Linked DNA regions of Danio rerio. The protein of the gene in region 6 interacts with the protein of the main gene of each other region in a pairwise test. Links are inferred from orthologs where the notes say so. Each region holds a gene or a part of one and is shown on either strand. Other genes may lie near its edges.

The links.
Region 1: the proteins of fam161a (region 6) and ccdc57 interact in binary tests that used the Homo sapiens proteins (3 or more experiments, as listed by UniProt). The two-hybrid records come from large-scale screens. The link is inferred for Danio rerio from reciprocal best matches to the Homo sapiens genes FAM161A and CCDC57.
Region 2: the proteins of fam161a (region 6) and zbtb8a interact in binary tests that used the Homo sapiens proteins (3 or more experiments, as listed by UniProt). The two-hybrid records come from large-scale screens. The link is inferred for Danio rerio from reciprocal best matches to the Homo sapiens genes FAM161A and ZBTB8A.
Region 3: the proteins of fam161a (region 6) and kifc3 interact in binary tests that used the Homo sapiens proteins (3 or more experiments, as listed by UniProt). The link is inferred for Danio rerio from reciprocal best matches to the Homo sapiens genes FAM161A and KIFC3.
Region 4: the proteins of fam161a (region 6) and cep70 interact in binary tests that used the Homo sapiens proteins (3 or more experiments, as listed by UniProt). The two-hybrid records come from large-scale screens. The link is inferred for Danio rerio from reciprocal best matches to the Homo sapiens genes FAM161A and CEP70.
Region 5: the proteins of fam161a (region 6) and cdr2a interact in binary tests that used the Homo sapiens proteins (3 or more experiments, as listed by UniProt). The two-hybrid records come from large-scale screens. The link is inferred for Danio rerio from reciprocal best matches to the Homo sapiens genes FAM161A and CDR2.
Region 7: the proteins of fam161a (region 6) and dhx32b interact in binary tests that used the Homo sapiens proteins (3 or more experiments, as listed by UniProt). The two-hybrid records come from large-scale screens. The link is inferred for Danio rerio from reciprocal best matches to the Homo sapiens genes FAM161A and DHX32.

What each region holds. Positions count from the first base shown.
Region 1 is NC_133187.1:35,270,541-35,274,728, forward strand, and holds the start of ccdc57 (coiled-coil domain-containing protein 57), read left to right. Parts: upstream 1-1,388; 5' UTR 1,389-1,689; intron 1,690-4,188. UniProt on the Homo sapiens protein: Pleiotropic regulator of centriole duplication, mitosis, and ciliogenesis. Critical interface between centrosome and microtubule-mediated cellular processes. Centriole duplication protein required for recruitment of CEP63, CEP152, and PLK4 to the centrosome.
Region 2 is NC_133192.1:26,253,666-26,257,165, reverse strand, and holds the end of zbtb8a (zinc finger and BTB domain-containing protein 8A), read left to right. Parts: intron 1-2,240; coding exon 2,241-2,561; 3' UTR 2,562-3,063; downstream 3,064-3,500. UniProt on the Homo sapiens protein: May be involved in transcriptional regulation.
Region 3 is NC_133193.1:48,507,794-48,511,953, forward strand, and holds the start of kifc3 (kinesin-like protein KIFC3), read left to right. Parts: upstream 1-1,360; 5' UTR 1,361-2,235; coding exon 2,236-2,538; intron 2,539-4,160. UniProt on the Homo sapiens protein: Minus-end microtubule-dependent motor protein. Involved in apically targeted transport. Required for zonula adherens maintenance.
Region 4 is NC_133197.1:12,315,363-12,319,643, reverse strand, and holds the start of cep70 (centrosomal protein of 70 kDa), read left to right. Parts: upstream 1-1,481; 5' UTR 1,482-1,586; intron 1,587-2,875; 5' UTR 2,876-2,889; coding exon of another isoform or gene 2,890-2,898; 5' UTR 2,899-3,094; coding exon 3,095-3,163; intron 3,164-3,263; coding exon 3,264-3,363; intron 3,364-3,645; coding exon 3,646-3,769; intron 3,770-4,281.
Region 5 is NC_133178.1:62,630,171-62,633,625, reverse strand, and holds part of cdr2a (cerebellar degeneration-related protein 2), read left to right. Parts: intron 1-226; coding exon 227-772; 3' UTR 773-3,455.
Region 6 is NC_133176.1:57,130,454-57,133,190, forward strand, and holds the end of fam161a (protein FAM161A), read right to left. Parts: intron 2,666-2,737; coding exon 2,347-2,665; 3' UTR 501-2,346; downstream 1-500. UniProt on the Homo sapiens protein: Involved in ciliogenesis.
Region 7 is NC_133192.1:34,050,585-34,054,084, forward strand, and holds part of dhx32b (putative pre-mRNA-splicing factor ATP-dependent RNA helicase DHX32), read left to right. Parts: intron 1-314; coding exon 315-693; intron 694-1,427; coding exon 1,428-1,655; intron 1,656-1,900; coding exon 1,901-1,994; intron 1,995-2,222; coding exon 2,223-2,372; intron 2,373-3,500.

The DNA.
Region 1 (4,188 bases), on a different chromosome or scaffold from region 6:
AACGTTGCACTATGGAGGCCCCAGGGTTTAAAAAAAGTAACACCGTTAAAATCTTAATGCTTATAGTCAAATTTCACAACATATGATAGAAAATTTTTAAAAAGGGGCTGTATAATTAATATAGGTTTCTTGGCACTGGTTGTGGCCCCCTAATTCCCCAGGGCCCTAAGCGGCTGCTTATTGGTTAAGTCCACCCCTGCATATAAACTGAATCATCCACGGTGTATAGTAAAAGTTATATTCAATTTAATTTTTTTTTCATTATATTACATAACATAATGTTTTCCAGTGTGGGTTTAGTTGGCGGTTCATTCCGCTGTGGCAACCCTAGGTTAATAAAGGGACTAATCCGCAAAGAGAATAAAGGAATGTTACATGAATATAAGATTATAATAGAATGAATAATAAAAAGTATATTTTAGCATATTCATTCACAATATATTCTATTCTACGAAACAGTTTTTACAAAAACAGTTATATATATATATATATATATATATATATATATATATATATATATATATTTTTTTTTTTTTTTTTTTGTATAATTATATTTAATTATATATAATTATTATATATTGTATATATATTATTGTCATGACCCTAATATACAATTTAAAATCTGTTTGGTAGTTTAATAATGTCATATAGACAGCTGATGGTTTTGCAAAAAAAACAAAAAAAATTACTGAACAGGGTTTGAGTATAAAATAATTATGTAAAAAATAATTTTATCTAAAAAAAATTATTTATATATGGAAATAATTATGATCGCACAGTTTTAAAATGTATTTAGCATATACATTTATCTTATATGTGCTTAAAGCACCCTTATGATAAGAGAATAGGCATCATTTCACCAAATTAGAACGTGACAGCAGGCAGGTAGAAACCACGTGAATCAGGTGTCTTGTTTCATGTTGCGTCAGCTGCTGTTGTGCCGTCTGTACGCCTCAAGAGAAGTTATATCACTGGGTTGAAAAAAAATTAAGTCTTAACTTGTCATAACAACTCTGGCAGGAAGTACACTATGCAAGCATACCAGACGTGATACACTTACATAGTTAAGTGCTTTGTCAGTGTATACATAACATTTTGACCCAAACATAAATATATTCAATATCAAATTACATAAACTTTCCACTTAATTAAATTTAATTACATCCACTTATTAAACACGTTTCATTTCAAACAAATACCCCATAAGAATTTTATAACTTTACGGTAAGCATGCTGCTTTTATAGCAGGGAAATAACAGTCATGCATCCCAGAAATTGAGCTTAATCAGAAGTGAACTCGTAATTTCCGCTTTTCTAAATAAGTATATGTGACGTCAGGTTGTAAACGCGGTAACTCATCCAGCAGCAGAAAAGGATGTTGTTACTCTGCTGCCATGGAAACGATCATAGCTGTGGGGGCGCAAAGCTTATGCTTGTGCTATGCTGCTTTAGCTTGTTAGCTTAGCTGACCCATAGAGAGCTGACCTAAGCATCAACGAGAACAATTTTAGACTTGCAGCAAATTCCCTTTAGTCTGTAATTGTCGCGTGCTTTGACCTTCGCAGAGTTTTCGTCACCTCTGTTTATTAATAAACACATCAAATAAAGCGTTTGTTCGCTGTGGCTTGTATGCTAACATGAGGAAATGCATGTATTTTCATTCATGCTTGGGCTGATGTACACATTAAGGTAAACTAGCAACTATTATCACTCAATGAAATCAATCGAATCATGTCGAAATACTTAAAATGACTTATTTATGTACTTTTCTGCTTCTTGTTTTCGTGTGAGAGCGCTAAAAACCTGATTTAACTAAATTTGATTGTTCAGTGTTATTTGTTATTTATGTTGTCATCATTATGTTTATACAAAATGGAAATAATATTTTTTTAGTGTTAGAAAGTTTGAAGACGAACATGAATGAAAGTGAAAGCCAGAATATTAAATGTTATGTATGTATATTTACAGAGTACCGTTAATCTAGTTTACTAGGATTACTGGGTAACAGTTAATCCTCCTATGTAGATCATGTTTAAAATTGCACATTTTAATATCTGGAAATGGACATGTATGTCTTTAAAATTGAAGACAAAAAAAGAAAAGTTTATAAAGAGCCAAAGTATAAAAGTATATTAATGTACAGTTGAAGTTAGAATTATTAGCCCTCCTTTAAATTTTTTTTCTTTTAATTTTTTTTTCCTAATGATGTTTAACAGAGCAAGGACATTTTCACAGTATGTCTGATAATATTTTTTCTTCTGGAGAAAGTCTTATTATCTTTATTTTGGCTAGAATAAAAGCAGTTTTAAATTTTTTAAAAATCATTTTAAGGTCTACTACGCTGCATAAAATGCTTTTCTTATTTACATCTTTTATCTTGTTTTTTAGGCGAAATATCTAAAAATCCCTAAACCAAGTAATATTTTCTTGACAAGAAAAATTATTGACTTGTTTTAAAAAAATAATATGCCAAAATTAAATGAGTTTTTCCCTAAAATGAGCAAAATAGTCTGGTGAAATGGTGAAAGCAAAATTATCTTGTTTTTCCTTTTGTCACAAGATTATTTTGCTTACCCCATTGGCAAATTATTTTGCTTGTACTAAAAAAAAAAAACCTTAATTTTGGCATATTATTTTGTTTTTAAATATTTGGACTAGAAACAAGATAAAAAAAATCTAAATTAGAAAATAATTTTTTGCAGTGTATAGAACAAACCTTTGTTATACAATAACTTGCCTAATTACCCTAACCTGCCTAGTTAACCTAATTAACCTAGTTAAGTCTTTAAATGTCAATTTAAGTTGTATAGAAGTGTCTTAATATCTATGAAAAATATTATTTACTGTCACTATGGCATAGATAAAATAATTCAGTTGTTTGAGAGGAGTTATTAAAACTATTATGCTTAGAATTTTGTCACTTCGCAAGATCTGCAATGTTGAGTCTAAATCATAGTTGACTACAGAACACGTGATTTGTAATGTCACTGTTAAGTTTAATCATAGTAGAGTGAAAATTTAGTAAATATAAAAGTATAAAGCATGTTTTTTAAGGCCTGTGACTGCATTTAAAGAGGATTTAAAATTTGGGCACAAGAAATTATGAAGTTTGGAGGTGTAAAAAAAGATTAATTGATTTTGTTATTTATATGATTTATATAATAAACAATTGTACTTAGAATTTTTGTATTGTTTCTAGTTCAAATATCTACATTTTAAAGCAAAACGTTTTTTGTTTTTTTTGCATACCCAATTTTTTTACATACCCCATTGGCAGATTTCTAAAGGTGGAAACAAAACAATTTACTTGATCTGATTTTAATCTTTAGATATTTGTACTTGAAATGAGACAAAGAAAAGTATTTATTCTAATTTCTGTACCTGAATACTGTTAGACTTCCCAGAAAAAGAAACATCATACAGAGCTAGTCAAACCATCTTGTAAAACGGTATTCATATCACTATATTTAACGTAGAAAAATTAAATACTGTAATATAAGATTTTTCCAATATCGTGCAGCCCTAGCCCACACTAAAAATAGTTTACAGTTTGATTATTTATTTTTCTTCAGAAAAGTAAAGGTTATTTATTTAATATAATAATATAAAAATTTTTATTTGGATAGTACACTTATACATATTTCAAACTATCACTTAGTAACTATGTGCCAACAAACTCATTAGAGTATATAGTATTAGCACAGTGTTGCACTAGAATTAGTAGATCAAGCCAAAATGTGGTTGCAGAGTTACTTACGTTTAGCAGAATATCAAATATATATCAGTATAAAATGTTAGCAGAATTAGAGTTCTCTGGTCGAATAGACACAAATGGAAGGCAGCTAAATTTAATTTCAGTCAGTTACAAGATGTGTCAATAATGACTTTTAATTTTTAAATTATATATATATATATATATATACAGTTGAAGTCAGAATTATTAGCCCCTCTTTGAATTTTTTTTTCTTTTATTCTTTTATATTTCCCAAATTATGTTGAACAGAGCAAAGAAATTTTTGCAGATTTTGAGATAATATTTTTTCTTCTAGAGAAAGTCTTATTTGTTTTATTTCAGCTAGAATAAAAGCAGTTCTTAATTTTTTAAAAAGCATTTTAAGAACAAAATGATTAGCCCCTTTAATCTATTTTTTTTCAATAGTCTACAGAACAAACTATCGTTATACAATA
Region 2 (3,500 bases), on a different chromosome or scaffold from region 6:
TCCGTTCACACCTCCACATGACATCCTGCACTGCTGGTCAATAATTCACATCTTGTAGAAATATGCTTATATGGCAAGCTGATTATATGATTCATTCATTTATTTTCTTTTCGACTTAGTCCCTTTATCAATACGTGGTCGCCACAGTGGAAGGAACCGCCAACTTATCTAGCACATGTTTTACGCAGCGGATGCCCTTCCAGCCGCAACCCATCTCTGGGAAACATCCATACACACTCATTCTTTCTCATACACTACGGACAATTTAGCCTAATTATCCAATTCACCTGTACCACATGTCTTTGGACTGTGGGGGAAACCGGAGCACCCAGAGGAAACCCACACGAACACAGGGAGAACATGCAAACTCCACACAGTATTGCCAACTGAGCCAGCCGAGGCTTGAACCAGCAACTTTCTTGCTGTAAGGCGACAGCACTACCTACTGCGCCACCGCGTTGCCCTGACTATATTATAAATTCTGCTAAATGACTAAATGTTATTTAAATGTACTTATTTTTCAGATACTTGCAGTGTCTGGTCTGATCTGTTCTGATGTCTGATCTGTTTTTTAAAAAATTATGTTAATAATTAAAATAATAGACATCCATTTGACCACCTCATACCATTGTGAATGCATAATCGCACCAATTAGTCTAACACCAGCAGATTTAGAGCACAGATAGACACCGTAAACGTTCACAAGACATGGAGAAAACAATGTGTTCTCATATAATAGGTGTTGGTTTCTAGATATTGCCTAAAAGTAGCGTAAGATTAGATGCATTATTTGTATAGTATGTCCTAAAATAAGCCGAAATACCTAATCAGGTCAGAATACAGTAAATAGCCTATCCCACAAATCACTTAAAACGCAAATTAATTTTATGAATAAATTAGATGTAATTCAAATGATGAACCCATACATTTTACTCACTGAAGCAGGAATTACGCAAACTAACATTACCAAAAATGTTGACTCAACCTAAAATTTTAAGGGAACAAACTTCAGGACATTTTTAGGTTTTGCTATGCTCAAAATGCTTCATTTACTCAAATGGATTACATTCACAGTACTCATTAGGGTTAGCTTAAATGGTTTGTTGCAATCGGTTTCAAATGGTTTGAGTTATTCTAACTTATTGGCTTTACAGTGTAAAAATAAGATACCTGTATCTAATGAGAAAGTATTATTCATTCATTTTCTTGTCGGCTTAGTCCCTTTATTAATCCAGGGTCGCCACAGCAGAATGAACCGCCAACTTATCCAGCAAGTTTTTACGCAGCGGATGCCCTTCCAGCCTGGGAAACATCCACACACATTCACACACACACTTACACACTACCCACAGCCTACCCAATTCACCTGTACCGCATGTCTTTGGTATGTGGGGGAAACCGGAGCACCCGGAAGAAACCCACACGAAGGCAGGGAGAACATGCAAACTCCACACAGAAATGCCAACTGAGCCGAGGTTCGAACCAGCGACCCAGCGACCTTCTTGCTGTGAGGCAACAGCACTACCTACTGCGCCAGTGTCTCGCCCAAGAAAGTATTAGTATTTATTAAATAAATTAGCTTAAAAACAGTAGTATTTCATTTTAAATATTAAATTTTAAAATGACTTTCTATATACTTCAACAAAAAGGGTTTTGCTGCTTCTACAAACTTACTTACTTAAAATGAGCTGAAAAATCACAATTCTTGAGTTTTTGGGGACAACTTAATTGTTTTATATTCAATCCGCCTAAATTTGTAAAATAACAAAGTTAATGTAATCGATTTGTGTTGGGACAACATGAAAGACTTGTGTGAAACCTAGTAAGATTTTGACAAAGACTTTTTTTACCCCATTGAACACAATATATGTTATTTTAATAAACTTTTTGGAACAGTAGCTTTTAATGTAGAGGTTCCTTTTCTGCTGGAGATACTGTTACTAAAAACTAAATACTTTTACTAAAAAAATAAAATAGTTGTGTAAAAATAAAAAACGAAAAAAATCTTTCATATACCTTAGGATTGGTATAATAGAAAACTTTGGTGTTTAAAACCTTGACTTTTTTTAAACTGCGGTTAACCTTGAAACCGGTTATCATCCTATGCCTAGTGGACCCCCAGCATTTTTTACAGTACAATGTAGTACATTAGTATTTGGCTAATGTTTCTGTCCATCAAATGAATAATTTAGATTGACATGAGATCTAAAATACACCTTCTCCATTTATCACACTGACAGATTCATCAGGCCCGTAAGCTGGTCTGCAGGAAGTGTAAGCGGCATGTAACTGAAGTCAGTGGACGTGTGGTCAGTGAAGGGACCCGCAAATACAGGCTCTGTGACGTTTGCATTCAGGAGAGCGGCTACAATGATTTAATCACAGATGAAACAGATGGAAATGAGGACAAGGAAGGCCTGTTGTTGGGTGTGGACGAGGACATGAGTGAAAACAGGCAAATTACATGGGTCATGGATGATGATGATCTAGCGGAAGATTCTGGAGCCGATCTCATAATCCAGGAAGTGGACGACAGCGACGAGGAAGCAAGTGGAAAGTGATGATAGATTTGTGTGTGATTGTGTGAATGGGCAGAGCTGCCTTATTGGCGGTTTAAGGTCTGTTGAAATTTCATAAGGGAATCTATGTGCGTTTTTGTACAAATAAAACACTTTGTCTTTTAAAAAAATATATATATAAAGTATTAAATATTACTGCTTTTATAAAAGTACAAGTATATTTCTGTAATTGAAAGTATATTTAGCTTATTTCAAGAAGGCTTTTATGGGCACGATGACAGCGTGATCAGTTATTGTTGATACAGAGCTGATCTAATGGAACTTCACTCTGTAATTCTGCCAGATTTCTTGCTTTGACTTCAGTTTTCAGACTTTAGTCAATGCCAGGGCTTACATATATGATTTTATGTTTTATGCTGCATGGAGTCCAGGCGACCTACTTTTTGTGATGTGTAACAGACTCATTTATTTATTTTCAACAAAACAAATTATCAGTCACAGGCCAAACATAAACAGCGTCTAAATAAAATATTGTATATATGAATGAATGTGTTTATGCTTCACTCTGGATGTGTCACCTTTTGCTATTTGTCTTGCTTTTGACATTCAATTTATTTGTGTTTCGATTTATTTGGACAAAAGAAAATATATTTTATACACATGCAATGTGCGTATGAATCGTCATTTACATTATACCCACATAAAAGAGGAGAGTACGTTCACACATTCCAACATTTAACACAAACCCTAGGAATTTTTCACTTTTTGAGCAAACATTGAGTTCCTTTCAGTGCATTGGGTATGGCAAGCTCTGTTAACATTAACTTTTAACATTAAGATAACAGTATCTTCATAGACAAATTATTATTTATTAGTGCATAATATACTGTAGCACAATATGATAGATTATATATTAATATTTAAAATGAGATCTAGTGTCTATTTAATAAGTAAAATAATCTTAGAAATTTAATGACTGAA
Region 3 (4,160 bases), on a different chromosome or scaffold from region 6:
TTTTCAGCTGATACTTCACAAACACACACACACACACACACACACACACACACACACACACACACACACACACACACAAACACTATAGGGACTTATTTTACATCTTGTTTAAATGAGTGTAAGAGGCCCCCTTTGAAGAAGAGAATATTCAACTTGTATCATCATTTTGGTATTGTCTTATATACAGTTGAAGTCAGAATTATTAGCCCTTGTTGATGTTTTTTTTCTTTTTTAAATATTTCCAAAATGATGTTTAACAAAGCAAAGACATTTTCACAGTATGTCTGATAATATTTTGTCTTTTTGAGAGTCTTATTTTCGGCTAGAATAAAAGCAGTTATTAATTTTTTAACTACCAATTTAAGGACAAAATTATTAGCCCCTTTAAGCTATTTTTTCCGATAGTCTACAGAACAAACCATCGTTATACAATAACTTTCCTAATTACTCTAACCTGCGTAGTTAACCTACTGTAATTAACCTAGTTAAGCCTTTAAATGTCACTAAGCTGTTTAGAAGTGTCTTTAAAAATATCTAGTCAAATATTATTTACTGTCTTCATGACAAGGATAAAATAAATCAGTTATTAAAAATGAGTTCTTAAACCTATTATGTTTAAAAAATAAAATAAACAAATAAAAAATAATAATAATCAATAATAATAATAATAAAACAGGGAGGTTAATAATTCAGGGGGGCTAATAATTCTGATTTCAACTGTATATAAAAAAAATTGTTGTTTGTTTGTAGTTTTCTGTTTGTAGATTTGCCCAGCCCTGCCACTTTAGTTTGAGCACTTACTTCTATACTGGTTAATTTGGTTCGAACAGGCACTCTTGTTGTTTTCCCTTGGTCTGAAGCATGTGAACGGCCCCTAAAAAGGGTAATGAACCAGAAGATGGCCTTTTGTTTGTCTTGCGCACACACTTCAAACATGATTCAATTTTTCCCCCCTGAAGTACCAGCACAAGACAGCGCCGATCTTCTATGTCCCCGAATCCTAATTGATCACTCTAGATTGGCACTGTCAGGTCTCACTGCGCCACATTCCCATAGTTGTCTGTTTCCATATTATGTTCTATCCATTGTCACACAGCAGGAGCATGATGGATGGCTTTGTAGGACGCAGTTCAACAGGGTCATCTTACCACGGAGGCGACCAATCACAGACCAGCTTCTTTATCCTCAGCAGTGCATTTAAAACATGTTTTGAGTTGATTTTCCTTATTTTGCATAGATGCAAACACTGTTGTTACATCATCGGCTAAGAGACGCTTAGCTGTCCGACTGCAGTGACAGATGGACACAATGAGAAAAGGGAGGGCGAAAGAGTGAAAAGCATTTTCTCTCTCGGAGTTATAGGACTACACCAGCATCGCAGGAGTTGGATGGGTTATGAATGGTTGGAGTTTGCCCAGTCATTTGGACCTAAAAACGGGGATAAAGACTATCAAAACAAGGCATTATGAAAGGAGTGGTCTGACCTGTGAGTTTTGTCCTGCAATCCAGTGACTGTAAAAATACAATAAAACCATTACTGACGCAAGTGGAGGTGATGATTTGTCAAAGTGCCAATGGAGATTACGACTGAGAGTTTCATGGTTACTCTTTCGATCGAATTTCACTGGAATACACCTGTAATCTTCTGGAAGATCTCCAAAGAAGAGGCGTGCAGATGGGGAAGATAAGCACCTAAATATTATGTATCCTGATTAAAGAAGCATTTATCATGCTGTTGGCTTACATTGTTTATCAGGCGATATCTTTATAGACGTGTCCAGGTAGGTTAAAATGGCTTTGTGGGGTTTAAAAGCAGATGTGCGGTAGTCGTCCCTCCCTCATTCTCTCTTGAACGAGATTGGGAGATGAGAAAGCCATCTCATTTGCTGATCAGATCACAGACAGATTATCAAGCCTAAGTGAGAGTTCTGGAGCTCGAAGGTGTTGGAATAACACGGTCTTACCTTCCAGGAGTTGTTGTTTGAGTGAAAACAGTGGTGGGAAGACATGCAAGAACTCAACAATACTTGATTCTAAACTGGCTGATCACCTTCACGTCGACCGATAAAGCTCATTGCTGCGCAATTCGGAAGAGTTTATATTACGACTGTAACTTTAACCAGAAGATAGTGTTCAGTGCTTGCGCTCACCCTGAAATGGGATCATCCAGAATCGCTTTTAAAGGATACTCCGTCTAAATGTGTGTGTGGAGACGTCTCCAGTAGTCAAGCCAGCATGTATGTTCTGTGCACCTTGGTGCTGCTGTCTCTTCACAACCTGTTTAGGAGACCCCGAGTCCTGGATCCCGTTGAACCCAAAGCTATCGAAAGCCCAGAGAAGCACAAACCAGATGTAGGCAAACACGGACGCAAGAAGAGAAACAAACACCACATTCCTGGAAGTTCTGGACCACTAGAGACTTCAAGAGTGCATGGGCAGAGTGACGTTGATAGATGCCTTGACGGATTCAGCAGCAGAGCGAGTAAAAGAAGATCTGTTCATCAGGATAATGTGCTGGAGAGGAGGAAGATAGCACAGGTGAGCGTGAACATGGAGGTTAAAGTAAAGAAAGTTGTTAGTTGAAGGCTGTTTGCATTGCAGCCATCCAGTTTAATGTTCACTGTTAACGATTTTTGTAAATTACACAGTATTTAGCTGTAATGTGAACTGTATTTTACTGTAGGACACTCATGCAGTATGTTACTGTATTTTAATGCTGCATTGTGAAAATTAGTGTATATTCTACAGTAAAGATTTACATTAGGGTTGGGCGATGTTGACCGATTTGGCATCGTACGATGTCTAATGTGAAACATCGTGATGGACGATGGCATCAGTGAATCATTTATTTATTCATAACAAATTAATAATTTGTAGCCACCCGTTGCGACTACCTGACCTGCATAGTCTTTGTTTTATACATAACCAAATCATAAATGAATAAAGATAAATTACACATAAATGACCAACCGGTCAATATTTTTTTTTGCGGGATTCTGGCATGAATAGGCAGAGTGATCTGTGTCATTATAATGGCGTCGAAAAACTTGGTTGGTAAAAAAAAAGGTGCACAACCAACAGGAACCATCCAACAGTATCTGAGGTTTAAGCTAGAATTACAATTTACTAAAAGTACAAGCGTGAAAGCGAAAGACTGAAGCAGTGTACTGACGCTGTGTTACCTGATAGATTCAAAAGACAGAGGAGTCGTTAGATAGAGACAAGATTAATTAAATATCAAGTTTAACATCTATAAGATGCAATCCAGCGGTACATCTTTAATAAATTGTCCAAAGTGCACTGCTCTCTGGGATTTTGTGCTCAAAGCACCCACTGACTGCCTAGAGCTCAGACGTGCGCAAATGCTGCAGCACATGCCATGTGTGTTCAGCAGTATGTTTTCAGAAGTGCTAGATAAAACGCCAGTGGATGTGGATCGTTTTCGTTCTAAAATGCCATTTTAATACTAAGATGTATTGGTCTAAATGGGGCCTGAGTGTGTAATTCTAGCGACGGGGGCGGGGCAGAGGATGTTTCTCGGCCTTTGTCGATCGACGATGGCATTGCCTATTGACCCAAAACTATTATACATACATATCTGTAAATACAAGATAAATGGTGCTGTAAATGTAAATACAGTCTATTTGCTGTACTTGATTTACAGTAAGTTACTGGTAAATTGCTGCCAGTATGTTACTGTAGATTCTGCAGGGAATTAAGTGTTGTTTTTGACCGATCAGTCCTCAAGCTGGAAGAGTGTAACTGATGAGTCTCTCTGCTACTGGAAAACCTCCATTTAATCCAAAATGCAATTATTTATTCATTGATTTCTTCTCATTATTTATGTGCGTTGTATTATTGATTTGAAGAAACCTTAGACGGCTTTAAGTTGAACATATTCCTTTTCTGAGTGTGTGAATTTCATCAAGTCTACTGGAGCTATTTTAATCAATCAAGTGCGTTTTTCTCGACTTTTCATCCTTATCCAGAATTTCTGTGATCAGCTGCTTCTGGTGGGAGTAATTCACTATGGGAACATTTTGTAAATGTTCTTTCTGCATAATACACACAGGGATTTTCATTTACCTGGAATCATGTTTATCCTCCCAATGTCCCATTTCTAATGTTCTCTGCAGTCTGATGGATCGTTTTAGCAGATC
Region 4 (4,281 bases), on a different chromosome or scaffold from region 6:
TAACGTTAATTTTGCTTAATAACTGCGCTTATTACTGGGTGACAAGCTGTTTTAATACTGTAATTTCTATTATATATATATATATATATATATATATATCTAAGACATATATATTATATGTATCTCTAATACAACAACATTATATATTATATATATATCTCTAATACAACAACAAACTCTGTTTGATTTAAATGTTAACGCTGTGGATTTTTTATTTTCTGCAACCTCCTGCGCGTGCATCCTGAATGTTTACAAACATGGTAATTCATCTATAGCAGTGGTTCCCAAACTTTTTTCACCAAGTACCACCTCATAAATGTTTTTCCTCTCCAAGTACCAACATAATGACCAGTATTAAAATATAGTTGTGTTGTGGGCCTAATTAAGCAGCTACAGCTGTGCACAGTTAAAAAACGAGGCAGATTATTTCCTATTATTATGAATATGTATAATTGTCAGCCAATTTAAACATTATAAATAGTGTGAACATTAACTGTGCTTGCAGGTTAAAAAAAAAAAAAAAAAAAAAAGTTTTACTTAAATCTAAAGTATTAACATAGTAGCCTATTCATCAAAACATGGAAATTGTTGCTTGGACCTCATAAATATAGGCTATATGTCATTGTCACATTCATACACTTATGAAATATATGTTGCAAGTACATATGACAGGGTTCATACAGGCGCTTAATGAAAATCAAGGACTTTTAAGCACTTTTTCCAGCACCTATTTTTATTTTCAAGACTGACACGCAACATATTGAAACATTGGTCCAGTAATTTTCCTATATAATATAATAGTAATTATATATTTACCTATATTGGTGATAAAACCTGCTTGGAAGTTCTGTTGATGTTTTCTCACCATTTGCTCATATACAGCTTCTGGAAACCTGGGTGAGGAAAACTGGCTTTACAGACACAAACTGTTTAAACAAAAAGATTCCCAAAAGTTCTGTCTCTCTCTCTCTTTCTCTATTTGCAGACGGTGCTGAGATTTGCATGCTGACCTTCATACGGAGAGCTGCCCTTTACACAGCATGCAGCAAAAAGAGCAACACAAAATGCCACAGAATCCGTAAATTTTGAAGAGCAGTATCTGTGAAGTGAGATTAGAGGCTTAGTAAATGCTGTCTGTTCAAAATGACTAACCTGAAAGGATGTTTTGAAAGATTGTGGAACATATCTGCTGAAGTCTTGTTTGCCAGTTATGTACATTTTAATATGTAATTACATTTAGTTGCACTAAAAATGCCAACTGTTCATAATAAATATTTTACAATGTATTTACATAATAAGAGTCTGGTAGGGAGCCCATATTCAAAAGTTAATTCTTTGCATCCATCTGGTGGACATTTGTTGTAACACCACTTTTTCTTAAGAGGGAAACGTCAGTACAGTGGCGCAAACTACGTTGTAGGCGTGGCTAGCTCATTCAGTTCTCCCATTGGTCTAAATCCAGGAAGCACTTCGTCGGTGTCAGTTTCCGCTGTTATTTGAATCAATAAACACACTCGAGTTTTCTTGTTTATAAAACGATAAATTGAAGATTTAATTGCTACAATTTAGCTCGTCTGTGGTTTAAGGTATGATTTAGAATAATACTGCTCAAAACACTTAACGTAAACGAAATGTATTAGCCGCGTTTGTAGACCTTATTTTTCATGTAGCGTTTTCAGTGTTTGTATGTTGTATCTACCGTGTGCTGTCACGTTTTAGCCCCTTTTATTAATGTTTCGCTAACTTTGTGGCCCCTAAAATTATATTAACTTCTAAGAATGTTATACTAGGGTTTTTATCTTGGTGAACATGGTAGTATTGTGAGTTATAGATCGAGTTATAAGCCAAAGATTGTGTACACGTTTTACAACTTAGCCCATGTTTTCACTCAGAAAATGCGTGTAAATCTCGCAAAATAGCAAGTTATATTAAACATGAAACGTCGACGTAGATCTATAGAGTTATACAGTAAACAAAGATTGTGTACGTATGTTTTACAACGTTGCCCTGTTTTATGTTTTCATTCAGAAAATGCACGTAAACCTCACAAAATAGCAAGTGTTACATTCAATTACAGATGAATCGTCAAAGTAGATATATTCACATAGTTTTTCTTATTGTAAAATCTTAAACAACATACAAAACTCCTACCAAAAAAGGTATTTGATGGTATAAGCACGCAATACCTTGCTCGGAAGTCACAAACATTACATAAATAGTATGCTACCTAACTAAAGTATTCTTGCTAGCAAATTTCAGTTCACTTCAAATGCATTTTTTATTTCTGTTTTACAAAAATCTCCATTTAAAAATAAAAATCTGCCAATGACATGTCATTTTATTAAGTTCAATTCAAGTGACCTTTATTTGAATAGCACTTTTACAATGTGGATTGTGTCAAAACAGCTTCACATAAAAGATCATAGCAAATTGAAATGGTGTATTTCAGTTTTCAAAGTTTAAGTTCAGTTCAGTTTAGCTCAGATCAGTGTTTTAATAATCACTACTTAGTCCAAACACTGAAGAGCAATCCATCGATGCGCAGGTCTACAGATCCCAAACCATGCAAGCTAGTGGCGTCAGCGGCGAGGAAAAAAAACTGCACCAATTGGCGAAAGTGGAAAAAAAAAAAAAAAAAAAAAAACATTAATTCGGTTCAATTCAAGTTTATCTGTGTATCGCTTTTCACAATAATTATTGTTTCAGTTATAATATATTACTACATTACAGTTTAAATTAGGACAGTTATGATATAGGTTGGACAGTATATAAACATTGTTAAATTGGATTTATACAGTATATAGTGTCCTTTTAAAATGGTAAAGTGCAATTTCAATAAAGTGCAAACTCAGCATCTATGTGTTTTCTCTTACAGGGCTTCTGATCGGGATGGAGCAGGTGAGCCCTTTTGTCTTTCCAGCGTGTGGAGGTGTTTCTTATTGTTCTTTGGGATAGTAATCTGATCTGGGTCTGTTCCCTCCATCTGCTGTGGGTGGACAGACCCTGATCAAGTCAGACAAAAAGTAGAAGATACAAGTAGATGCTTAAAATAGTGCAATAGCTCATCATTCATTTGTGATTTTCACTGACGAGCATGGATAGACAAGCTTTGCAATCCAGGGACAAAACATATGTGTTTTTGTGGACCTACAGCCAGTTTCAGGTAGCACAAAAGTGGAGATTCTGATAGTTTTACAGTTGTTTCTCCATGCATTAGTTTATTATTGTTGTTAATGCACGCTGCATATGTCATGCTTTTGCAGGAAGAACAGAGAGAATGGGACGCTGTAAACAGGTTGCTGCAGCATCACGGGTTTAAACCTGTCAGCTTTGCAGATCCAAAGGAAAACAAGAACCTTGCAGGTTATCTCATTTTAATAATTTGTTGCTGCAACTATGAAAAAAATGTAATTATTGGATTATTAAAGTTTGAAGTTAAATTATGGGATTAAATTTATTAACACATTTCTAATATGATTTTAGTCCTAATTTTTGCGTTTATTTTTTATATTTATTTTATTTTTTTAACTGTTCGCAAATATTATATCTTTCAAGTATACAATAAGAATTATAGTAGTTTAGATATTAGTCATTGACAATAACTGAAAAAAAGAACTAATGGTGATACTTGTTTTGTGTTTGTAGAGTTGGTTTTGTTGGAGCGAAAGTCTGCCTCTGATGTCCGCTTGATGTTGAAGACGATGCTATCGGATTCTGAAAGGAGACAAGGTTTAATTCAAGAGCTCATTCAGTCCAACAGCCAGTTAAAGTGAGTCTAGCTTTCATTATTAGTGTAACATGCCTTTAGTGTTGCTTAGAGGCCAAATATGTTTTAAAAGTTAAATAAATTCGAAATAATTTTATAATTATTTGTAATAAATATAGTTTTTTTAAGAAAAAAAAATTCAAATATCAGTATATGTGTGTGTGTGTGTATTTACTACTTGTATACAAATATCTTATTTTTGTCACCAAAATAGAATGTTTTACAGAATGATTTATAACATTTTAGATTATGACAAATCAATATTTCCTTTAGTTCTTGTTACTATATTACTGTAATACAAAAGTGAAAGTCACATTATTTTGTTATAATATTACTGTTTTTATTGTATTGATAAATATAATTGTCAATAAATCTGACAATTATATTTTCGTTATTGTCTAAATGAAGGTGTGTGTGTGTGTGTGTGTGTGTGTGTGTGTGTGTGTGTGTGTGTGTGTGTGTGTGTGTGTGTTTGTGTACACACAAACAATAAATTAAAAAATAGTTGATGCATA
Region 5 (3,455 bases), on a different chromosome or scaffold from region 6:
TTTGTTTGCACTCAGTGATGTTGAATTTGAAATGAAATGAAACAAAAACATGTGGTTGTTGCATAGGCTAATGATGTTTTCTGCAAATGACCAAAGTATTTTTATGAGCTGAAAGGCAGAATGCGAGTGTTTTCATCAAGCTCGACATTATATAACAGTTTCAGGTTGGGTTTTAGTGTTTGTAACATGTGACACACATTGTGACATGCGGTTTCACTTTTGACAGGCGGAGCTGGAGGCCGAGGTGGAGGAGCTGCGTCTGCTGTGGCGCTCCGAGTCTTCCAGCTCCAGACTGACCGACACGCTGCTGCCTGACAGTGTTTTCTTCAGTGCAGAGGAGCGGCTGGGGGTGGAGCCTGAATGTGAGGAGGAGGCGGAGTTTCCTCAGGGGCGCTGCCGCTGCAGCAGTGATAGTTACGTCAGAGGAGCTCGAGCGGAGGAGATCCGGCGTGGACACGAGCGCTCCTGCATTCGCAGAGCTCAGGCCGTCAAGCAGCGCGGCATCTCTCTGCTCAATGAGGTGGACGCTCAGTACAGCGCCCTGCAGCTCAAATACGAGGAGCTGCTGCGCCGCTGCCAGCACGGGGCCAACAGCCTCAGCCATAAAGCCGTCCAGACGCCCAAATCCCAGAGCTGCTCCGCCACAGACACCGCCTGCCTCTCCGACCAGCTCCATCAGCCCGAGTACAAAGCCCTGTTCAAAGAGATCTTCACCTGCATTCAGAAGACCAAAGAGGACCTGAGTGAGAACAGGGCTTTGCAGGCCCAGTAAGGTGTGGCTGTTTTAAAGGGGGAGTTCACCCAAAATTCTGATGAAATTCTGTCACCATTTACTCATCATTTGCTTGTTGCAAAACGGTTTGGGTTTCTTTCCTCTGTTGAACACTAAGGAAGATGAACTGAAGAGTGCTGAACAGAAAAGAGGATATCTTGAAGAATGCTGGGAAAACATCCATTGACATCCATAGTATTTGTTTGTTCCTACTATGGATGCCAATGGCTGCTTTTTCCCAACATTTTTCTTGTTTTGCGTTCAACAGAAGAAGCACTTGAGTAAATTATGAGTAAATGGTCATTGTTTTTGGGTGATCTGTCCCTTTAAGTTGAGTGTAGTGACTTTGCACTTGCTAATGTGATTTAACAGTGTGTTTGTGTGTGTGTCTATTGCACTATAACAGCTGTGCCTATACACAGTATACAACACCAAACCGTCCACATCCAGAACCTGAATGGTCTGAATGGGGTTTTTCTACTTTTATACGTCTTACTCTAATGAACGACACACACAAGCTGTGTGAATCAGCCATACCAGACGCCTGAGATACATCAGGTTTGGAGGAAGACTATTGTTATTAGTACTAACAACTACATAACACAGTTATGGAACTAACTTGATGTACATGATATACCATAATATTGGTGAACCTCACACAAGCTGCTAAAATGAGGTTTTACATCGAAAAATACAACAAAAACAACAAAAAAGCAATTGACATTGTAAATTTGAGCCAGTTTTTTAGGAAAATTTAACGTTTTTGTTGTTGTGTTTGAAATTACACGTTATCTTCATGACGAATGCCCCTAGTGCTGTGGCAATCATTTGGAGGAATGGATTTTACGATTGCGAAGTGCATTTCTATTCTATCTTGAATCGGCTCTGAGCTTAGTTTTCAACAGCAGATGGCACTCTAGGCTAGTATTTAGCAGCAGACAGGCTAGCTATAGCAACACACGGCATTCTGGACTAATTTTGAAAAGCCTAGAGCACCCTCTAATGTTAAAAATTAGCCTACATTTCCCATCTATTGTTAAAAACTAGCCTAAATCGCTGTCTAATTTTACAAACTAGCCTATCTGCTATAGCCAAAATTGCCATTTAATGTTAAAAACTAGCAAATGCTGTTAAAAACTAGCCTAAATCGCCATCTTATGTTAAGAATTAGCCTAAAGCCCCTTCTATTGTTTACAACTAGCCTAAATCGCTGTCTAATGTCAAAAACTAGCCATCTGCCGTTAAACAAGCCTAGAGTCCAATCTATTGTTAAAAAAATAGCCTAAGTTGCCATTGCTAATGTTAAAACTAGCCTATCTAATGTTAAAAACTAGCCTAGATCGCAGTCTGCTGTAAAACAAATTGCCTAGAGTGCCATCTACTGTTTAAAAAAAATTAGTCTAGAGTGCCTTCTACTGTTAATCTAACATTAAAAAACTAGCCTAGAGTGCCATCTAGTGTTAAAAATTAGCCTAGAGCACCACCTAATGATTAAAAACTAGCATAGAGCACCATGTTTTTTAAAAACTAGCCTAGAGTGCCATCTAATGATTAAACACTAGCCTAGAGTACCATCTAATGTTAAAAAACTAGCTTAGAGTCCCATCTATTGTTAAAAACTAGCATAAATTGCTATTTTTTAAAACTAGCCTAGCTGCTGTTAAAAGCTAGCTTAAATTGCCATTAAATGTTAAAATCCAGCCTAAAGCCCCCTCTATTGATAACAACTAGCCTAAATCGCAGTCTAATGTTAAAAACTAGCCGATCTTCTGTTAAACAAGACTAGAGCACCATCTAATACTAAAAACTAACCTAAAGTTCAAACTATTGTTATAAAAATGCCTAAATTGCTATTGCTAATGTTAAAAACTAGCCTATCTGATGTTAAAAACTAGCCTAGAGCGTCATCTGCTGTTAAACACTAAGCTCAAAGTTGATTCAATCGAGAATAATGCATTTAGAAAATCTTAGAATGGGTTTCTCCAATTTTTTGCAACAGCTTTATATCCCCAATTCTATTTGCATATTTAAAAAAATAATAATCTAAATGCCATTACATTAATGCACAAATTAAATTTGTAAAAAAAAAAAATATCTGAGAAGTATTTAATGCGCTAATTTAAAATCTAAGATTGTGCGAGAAAACACTGTTACAGGAATAATAGTAATAAAAAAAAATTGACAAGCTTTTTATAACGGAATATGAACCAGATATTCTTTTATGAGAGTCATTTGATAAACATTAGAAATATATACGTATATAAACAAAATGGAATTCAGTAGGACCGTGTATGTAGCCTTAGATTTTAAGTGTCTAGACATTTCACATGCAATACTTATTAACTTATAATAGAAAATGCTGCATGTGATTTCGATGACGTTACTAACGGTGATCTCTTGTATTCGAGCAATACTGTTTGCTGTTTTGCTGCTTCTTTACCTCAGTGCTTTGATATGCTAGCGGAATCAGCTCCTGTCAATGTAAACGATATGCTTGAAAATCTGTGTAAATAGTTTGTTCGGATCAAATCGTGGCTCTGCGTTCGCAAACACACTCACTCTAGCTAATAGTCTCAAGCACTTTTTGTTTTGGCGTTCATGTAAACACCACTGTGATACTATGCACTTTAGACAGACCTGTGGTCAGTTTTTGGATTTTTGAGTTACGTTTTTATTTATTTAT
Region 6 (2,737 bases):
GTTAGTCTCGTGTAGAAAAACCGTTGTTTTGTAAGCAGATATTTGCGAGAGACTGTGACCCAGCTCCTCGCCAGTCTCATGCATCACACGCAAGACCGGTTGAAACCGGTTCAGACTGGCATATTCCATCTCGGTTTAGTTTTCAGCCCGTAGCGCCGCGTAAAATTCGGACTGCAGAAACGCCCTCTTCAGCAGCTGATTGGTCGGAGGGGGCAGCGCGGATTGCTATTTCGCGTGTGATTGGCTTACAGCGCTGTATGTCAGGGTAAACCCCACCCAGCGCGTCTTTTTGCCCTTGGTCTCATGTGCAAGGCGGGTTTTGCATCACAGCGTGAGCGTGAGGTGGGCTGGACCGCGTGGAGCATGGAAAATTACTGAGATGTTGCCTGCGATGTACAAACAGTAACTGACCATGATGTGTATTTTTAGGCCGTGGCTCATGTTTAAAATGTTTTATATGTGCGTGTTTATATTTAAGAAGTAAATAGAGAACGAATGAATATGCTGTAAAGTTTATTTTCACGTATTAAGTTTTATTTTCACACATTTGCATTCCCACACATGCAAACACAGTCTTTTGATTGGTAATACACATCATAAAACAGTTTTTTGGCTCTTTTTAAAAGATATCTGATGAGTTGATAGACATTTATATTTACATATATGATATGTTCATCATTACTGTGTATGAAGTGAACAAGCTGCAAACACGTCGAGGTCATATTCTGCCTCAAACAAAACGAGAAATAAGTAATAACATTTAGACTATATTAATTACATTTATACACTATTTTAAAAAGATTTGCTGCATTGCAGGATGATACAGAACATTTCCAACCAAAGTATGTTAATCATGTTTATCTTAAACTTTTGAGGGTTGTGCTAATTATCTCTGTTTTTAATAGTGACTGCTAGTTTATTTTTCTTTATAATTGCTTAATAGAGGATTTTATTATTTAATGTACACCCATGCTCTTAAATACTTCTATTATTATTACTTGTTACCTGGTTGTGACAGGTTTATGAGATTCACTTTATTAAAAATGCCTATAATAACAACTTACTACTGAGGTTTTGCTTGGCTTAAATACGAAAATGACTTAAAATATGTCCCAAACATCTAATAATATATTTAGGAAAATACCAGTGTTCTCCACTAGGGGCATTTCTGTTTCTCATCACCTTCCTGATCCTCACACTTGTCTTTTCAGTTAACCAGTGGTGGACAGATTACTGAAAAATCATACATAAGTTAAAGTACCATTAGGCTACTTCCCTAAAAATGTAGGGCAAGTAGAGTAAAAGTATCTGTTGTAAATATTACTCAAAGAATAATTATAAAGTAGCCCTTTCAAGAGTATAGTGAGTATTACACTGTAAAAAGCAATTTACAGTAATTTGTGGATGTGTGTAAACGTAACATTCTGTAGTGCATTTAGTTATTGCCCAGCAGGAACACAACGTCATATGACATTAATATTAGGTTAGAGTTAGGTTGTGATGTCAGTTGAGCAAAATTCTATGTCTAGCCAGTGTCTAAGGATGTTATTTTGATGTCCAATAACAATGTTAAATGACGTTGATATTTGGTTGATTTTAGGTTGTGTTAGAAAGTTATCAAAATCCAACGTCAAGCTAACATCTTAAATCAACGTCAAATTGACATCAAATACTGACATTTATTCGTCAGGTATGGCAAGCAAAATACAATGTCTGATAGACGTCAAAGTGGTAACGTCCACACAATGTCAAGCTGTAACATCATTAGACGTTGATATTTGGTTGATTTTAGACTGGAAATTGACGTTGGCCTGACGCTGGGTTCAGATGTCAACCCGATTTTCATTTCCAAACAAAGTGTAACGTCCCCATGATGACGTCATGTTGACGTCTGATGCCTGCTGGGTGTTTAAGACCATTTCGGTCTTCATACGGTAAACATTTTTCATCTTCTCATCGGTGACATGCATCTAAACCGTCTCTGGGTCAATACTTGTAAAGGTTTTGAATATCTTCTTGGACACTTTTAATGCTTCCAAACAGTTTGCTGTGATTATAAATCGCCCATGTCTTGAGGTAGTTCATTATGATTTACTTTCTATGTGTGACAGGAATCACAGGACTGATTTTTCTAATCCCCATAGACAGGAAAAAATAAAGTAGTGACTGCAGGTTGAGGGAAAGTAGTGGAGTAAAAGTACCGATACTGCACTACACATGTACTCAAGGGAAAGTGAAAGTACACATTTTAAAAACTACTTAGTAAATTACAATTCCTGAGGAAAAACTACTCAATTACAGTAGTCTGAGTATTTGTAATTTGTTACTTTACACCGCTGCAGTTAACTAATTAACACTACCTGTTCTACTCCTGTTGCTGTGATCACTTCTGTCGCTACCCTTGCTGCTCTGACTGTGCCTCCTGATGATGTCATCATCCCCCTGACAGTCATCATCATCAAATTGCATCTCATCATCATCATCATCATCATCATCATCCTTTTCCTCATCCCCGTAGTCATGATGTTCGCTGTGTTTCCGCTCCTCATCTCCATCGACAAGTTCTGTCTCCATGTCATGGTCATACTCCTCATAATCATCCGGATAGTCATCGAGAAGAGAATCCTGCATGTCCGGAAGATCCTCATCATCCTCAAGTCTGTTTCTGCCATGGAAAAAGTAATGAAAAAAGTTGAGATTTCTGCTTAGGAGCAGTTTGGCTGATCACTTATATAAT
Region 7 (3,500 bases), on a different chromosome or scaffold from region 6:
TAAAATGTCTAAACTAGAATATATTACAATATTTTCCCAGTATTGTGCAGCCCTACCATACCATACACATGCTGGTTTTCATTTTCGAAACTTTTTAAAAATGGCGAACAGACATTTTGTTGGTAAGTGGTCGAAAGAGCATTAAAATCTCAATGGTGATTGTCTGTGAGCTAAACAGTAAGGGCAGTACATTTTGTATATTCAGATTTTTTATTAAAACAGCGTCAGTCTGGGAAAGACATCAAAAATTGGGTCTGACCCGGAAAACAGGGACATCTGGTCATCGTACTGCAATGACATCTGTTGCTTTGCAGATACTGCACAGATGACGTGCTGCTCCGGGAAATGATGTCAGACCCTCTGTTGGAGCAGTGTGGTGTGGTGGTCCTCGATCAGGCCCAAGAACGCACCGTCAGCACAGACCTGCTTCTCGGACTGCTCAAAGACGTGCTCCTGACGCGGCCAGAGCTCCGGCTGGTCATCCTCAGCGCTCCGCACTCCTCAGAGAAGCTGCTGAGACACTATGGAAGTGTTCCTCAGATCAAGCTGGAAGGACCACAGCCATGCGAAGTGCTGTTTGGTAGTGGGAGAGGAGGAGTGAAGGATTACCTCTGCTCTGCTCTTAGACTCGCTCTGGAGATACACCAGAATGAAAACCATGGAGACATTGTGGCATTTCTGGCAACTGAGCAAGTGAGAGACATTTAAACGTTAAATAGATGAGACAATGCTGGGCATTTACAGGTGTTTACGTTTTCGTCACATTTTTTAAATATTTATTCTTTATTTTATTAGTAAACAAATTAATTTGATCAAATAGAAAATAAAAAAACATGTAAAAATGTTTGATATTGATATGTTATATTTCTTTATTTTTAATAAAAAAAATGTAAAAAATATATTTAAAATAAAATAAAAATTGATAAATAAAATAGAAATTTCAAGATTATTTTTAGCATTATTTTATTTATAAAATAATTAAGAAAATTTTGTTTGTTTTTATAATTTCTAATGATTTGACATTTTTGAATATATATTTAATATATTAATAATAATATATTTAATCAGTATAGTTTATGAATATATTTAAAAAATCTATAATATAATATAATAAATTTTAAACCTTATAGAAGTTAATGCTTTCTTTTTGTTTTATATTTTTAAATGGAGATTTATTATAAAAATTCTAAAAATTATACATTTTAGAATTAAAATGGTAAATTACAAATTATAATATGTATGAATTAAATAATTGATAATATTTGATATAAAATAATATAAAAAAATTATATAATTAATTATTTATAAATAATATAAATAATTAAATAATTATAAAAATTCTTAAATCTAGTATACTGTAGAATAACAAAAATAAATAAATAAATTCTATGGTAATTAAAACTTTTGTTTCCCGTTTTATTTTCAAGGAGATTGAATGTGCCCATGCCATTTTGCGGAGAGAGGGTGCCAATCTCGCTCTGTCTCATGGAGAGCTGGTGCCCGTGTCTCTGTGCCCAAGGCAAGGTGACAGTCTCTCACTGACTGAGGAGAGCAAAAGCAGGAGAGTCTTCCTCACCTGCAGCCCCAGCGAAGATCTCTTCTGGGCCCTTCACACCATTCGCTTTGTGATTGATGCTGGAGTGCAGAAAAGATATGTACGTAGCAATTTTGTTTTTATCGGGACTTTTACAGGCTAGTCTTTCCTTTAATTGTGTTAAGTACTCTTGAGTGAAGGTCAAAATGTAGTATATGTAGTAATTATACCAAAAATACGTTGAAAGTGCTATACTTCATATAGTTCAGTACTACTTGAAATTAAATTGGCCGCTAAGTTTATAATCAGCTCCTTTTTTCCTATTTTGATTGGTGGCCATAAAACAGTGATGTTTCATTGTGACAGGTGTACAATCCCCGAATCAGAGCCAACTCAATTGTAATTCGACCAATCAGCAAGAGCCAAGCTGAGAGCCGCAAACAACTCGCAGGCCCAACAGGTAAGCACCTCTTTCTACATTTGTAAGAAATAACTAACTTCTAAATAACATTAATGCATTTGTAAAATTGATTAAATATTTCCAAATGCTGCTTAAAAGACTCCTTCAAAAGAAAATAAAAAATACAAATAAATTTTAACAGAAGTGTACTACTTAAAATAAAAATGTTTCATCCAATTAGTTTTTTCATGCACTGAATCCTAAGCCTGACATTTTCCATTTCTGCAGGCAAGTGCTTCTGTTTGTATCAAGAAGACACTTCACTTCCTGCCGAGAGCGTCCCACACCTTCTAGAGTCTGACATCACTTCCACTGTGCTTTTCCTAAAGCGCATGGAAATAGCTGGTTTGAGCCACTGTGACTTCATTGACAGACCAGGTGAGATCCTTCTTATACAACAGTAACGTTGACTTTAACTATTCTGTTAACGGTAATGGAAAATTATTGCTGAATAAACACTACTTACAGTAGCATAATTTAACTGACCAAACTTTTCTTTAATTTGCAATATTTGATATTCTTCTGCACAGTTGGCAGTCTCACATGAAAAATGCTTGTGTTTCTGGCAAGCGTGTTAAGTATAAAAGTCTTCACAGGTCTCAGCTGTGCAACCACACTCAGTGGAGGCTCGCGCTAAGGGCACATATCTCATAGCACATAGCTCGCGACACAGACTCGTGCACACACAGCTCATAAGCTTGCGGAGTGAATAAAATGGGTTGTATTTCCCAAGTGGACAGCGACAATGCCTGTTGCAACAAACGCAACAAGTTATTGTCTTGTATAAGCGGAAACGCAAGCAATCTGGTATGTAAAAGTATCTTTCAAAAGTGCTTTAACTGCAAAAAGACAAATTAAAAGTTTTTGACTGCCTATCAACTAACGGTAACATTATATCATCCACATCGTTATGCCAGCAGTCAATAACCTCAATTAGTATGATATTAATAGTTAAATAAAAACACACATTTGGTTACAATGAAAACAGTATTTTTTCTGCTTCAGTAGCATAAATAAATCTTAAACATTAAAAATGCTTTTACATCAGCTGCATTTACAAATATAGCCTGTAAATAGTCTAAAAATAAACTATGCTTATTAAGAAATTATTTAAAAAAAACTGCTTATTTTTACATTGCAAGATGCTCCAGAACTGTATAAAAAACACAGTTAACTCCCAAAACACTTTTAAATCATTTATGTGAATGTGTTAATAAAAAATCACAAACATTATCTCATTTAACTGCATTTTGCATCTCAAAGAGGGTGTGCAGGGAGCACAATAAACCAAGAAAGATCCCGATTTCTGCCATAAAAGGCAAACATGTCTACTTTTCTTCAGAAGAATGGTTAAAAACTTATTTTCCTTCAAACCATTAAAAAAAAAATTTTACAGGTAAAAAATATAATTTGTTTTACAATTATTGTTTTTGTTTTATTTTACATAAAAAATGTAAAAATAAAGTGTTGTTAATTCTGTTACATTTTTTTTTGTGTGTGTGTAAA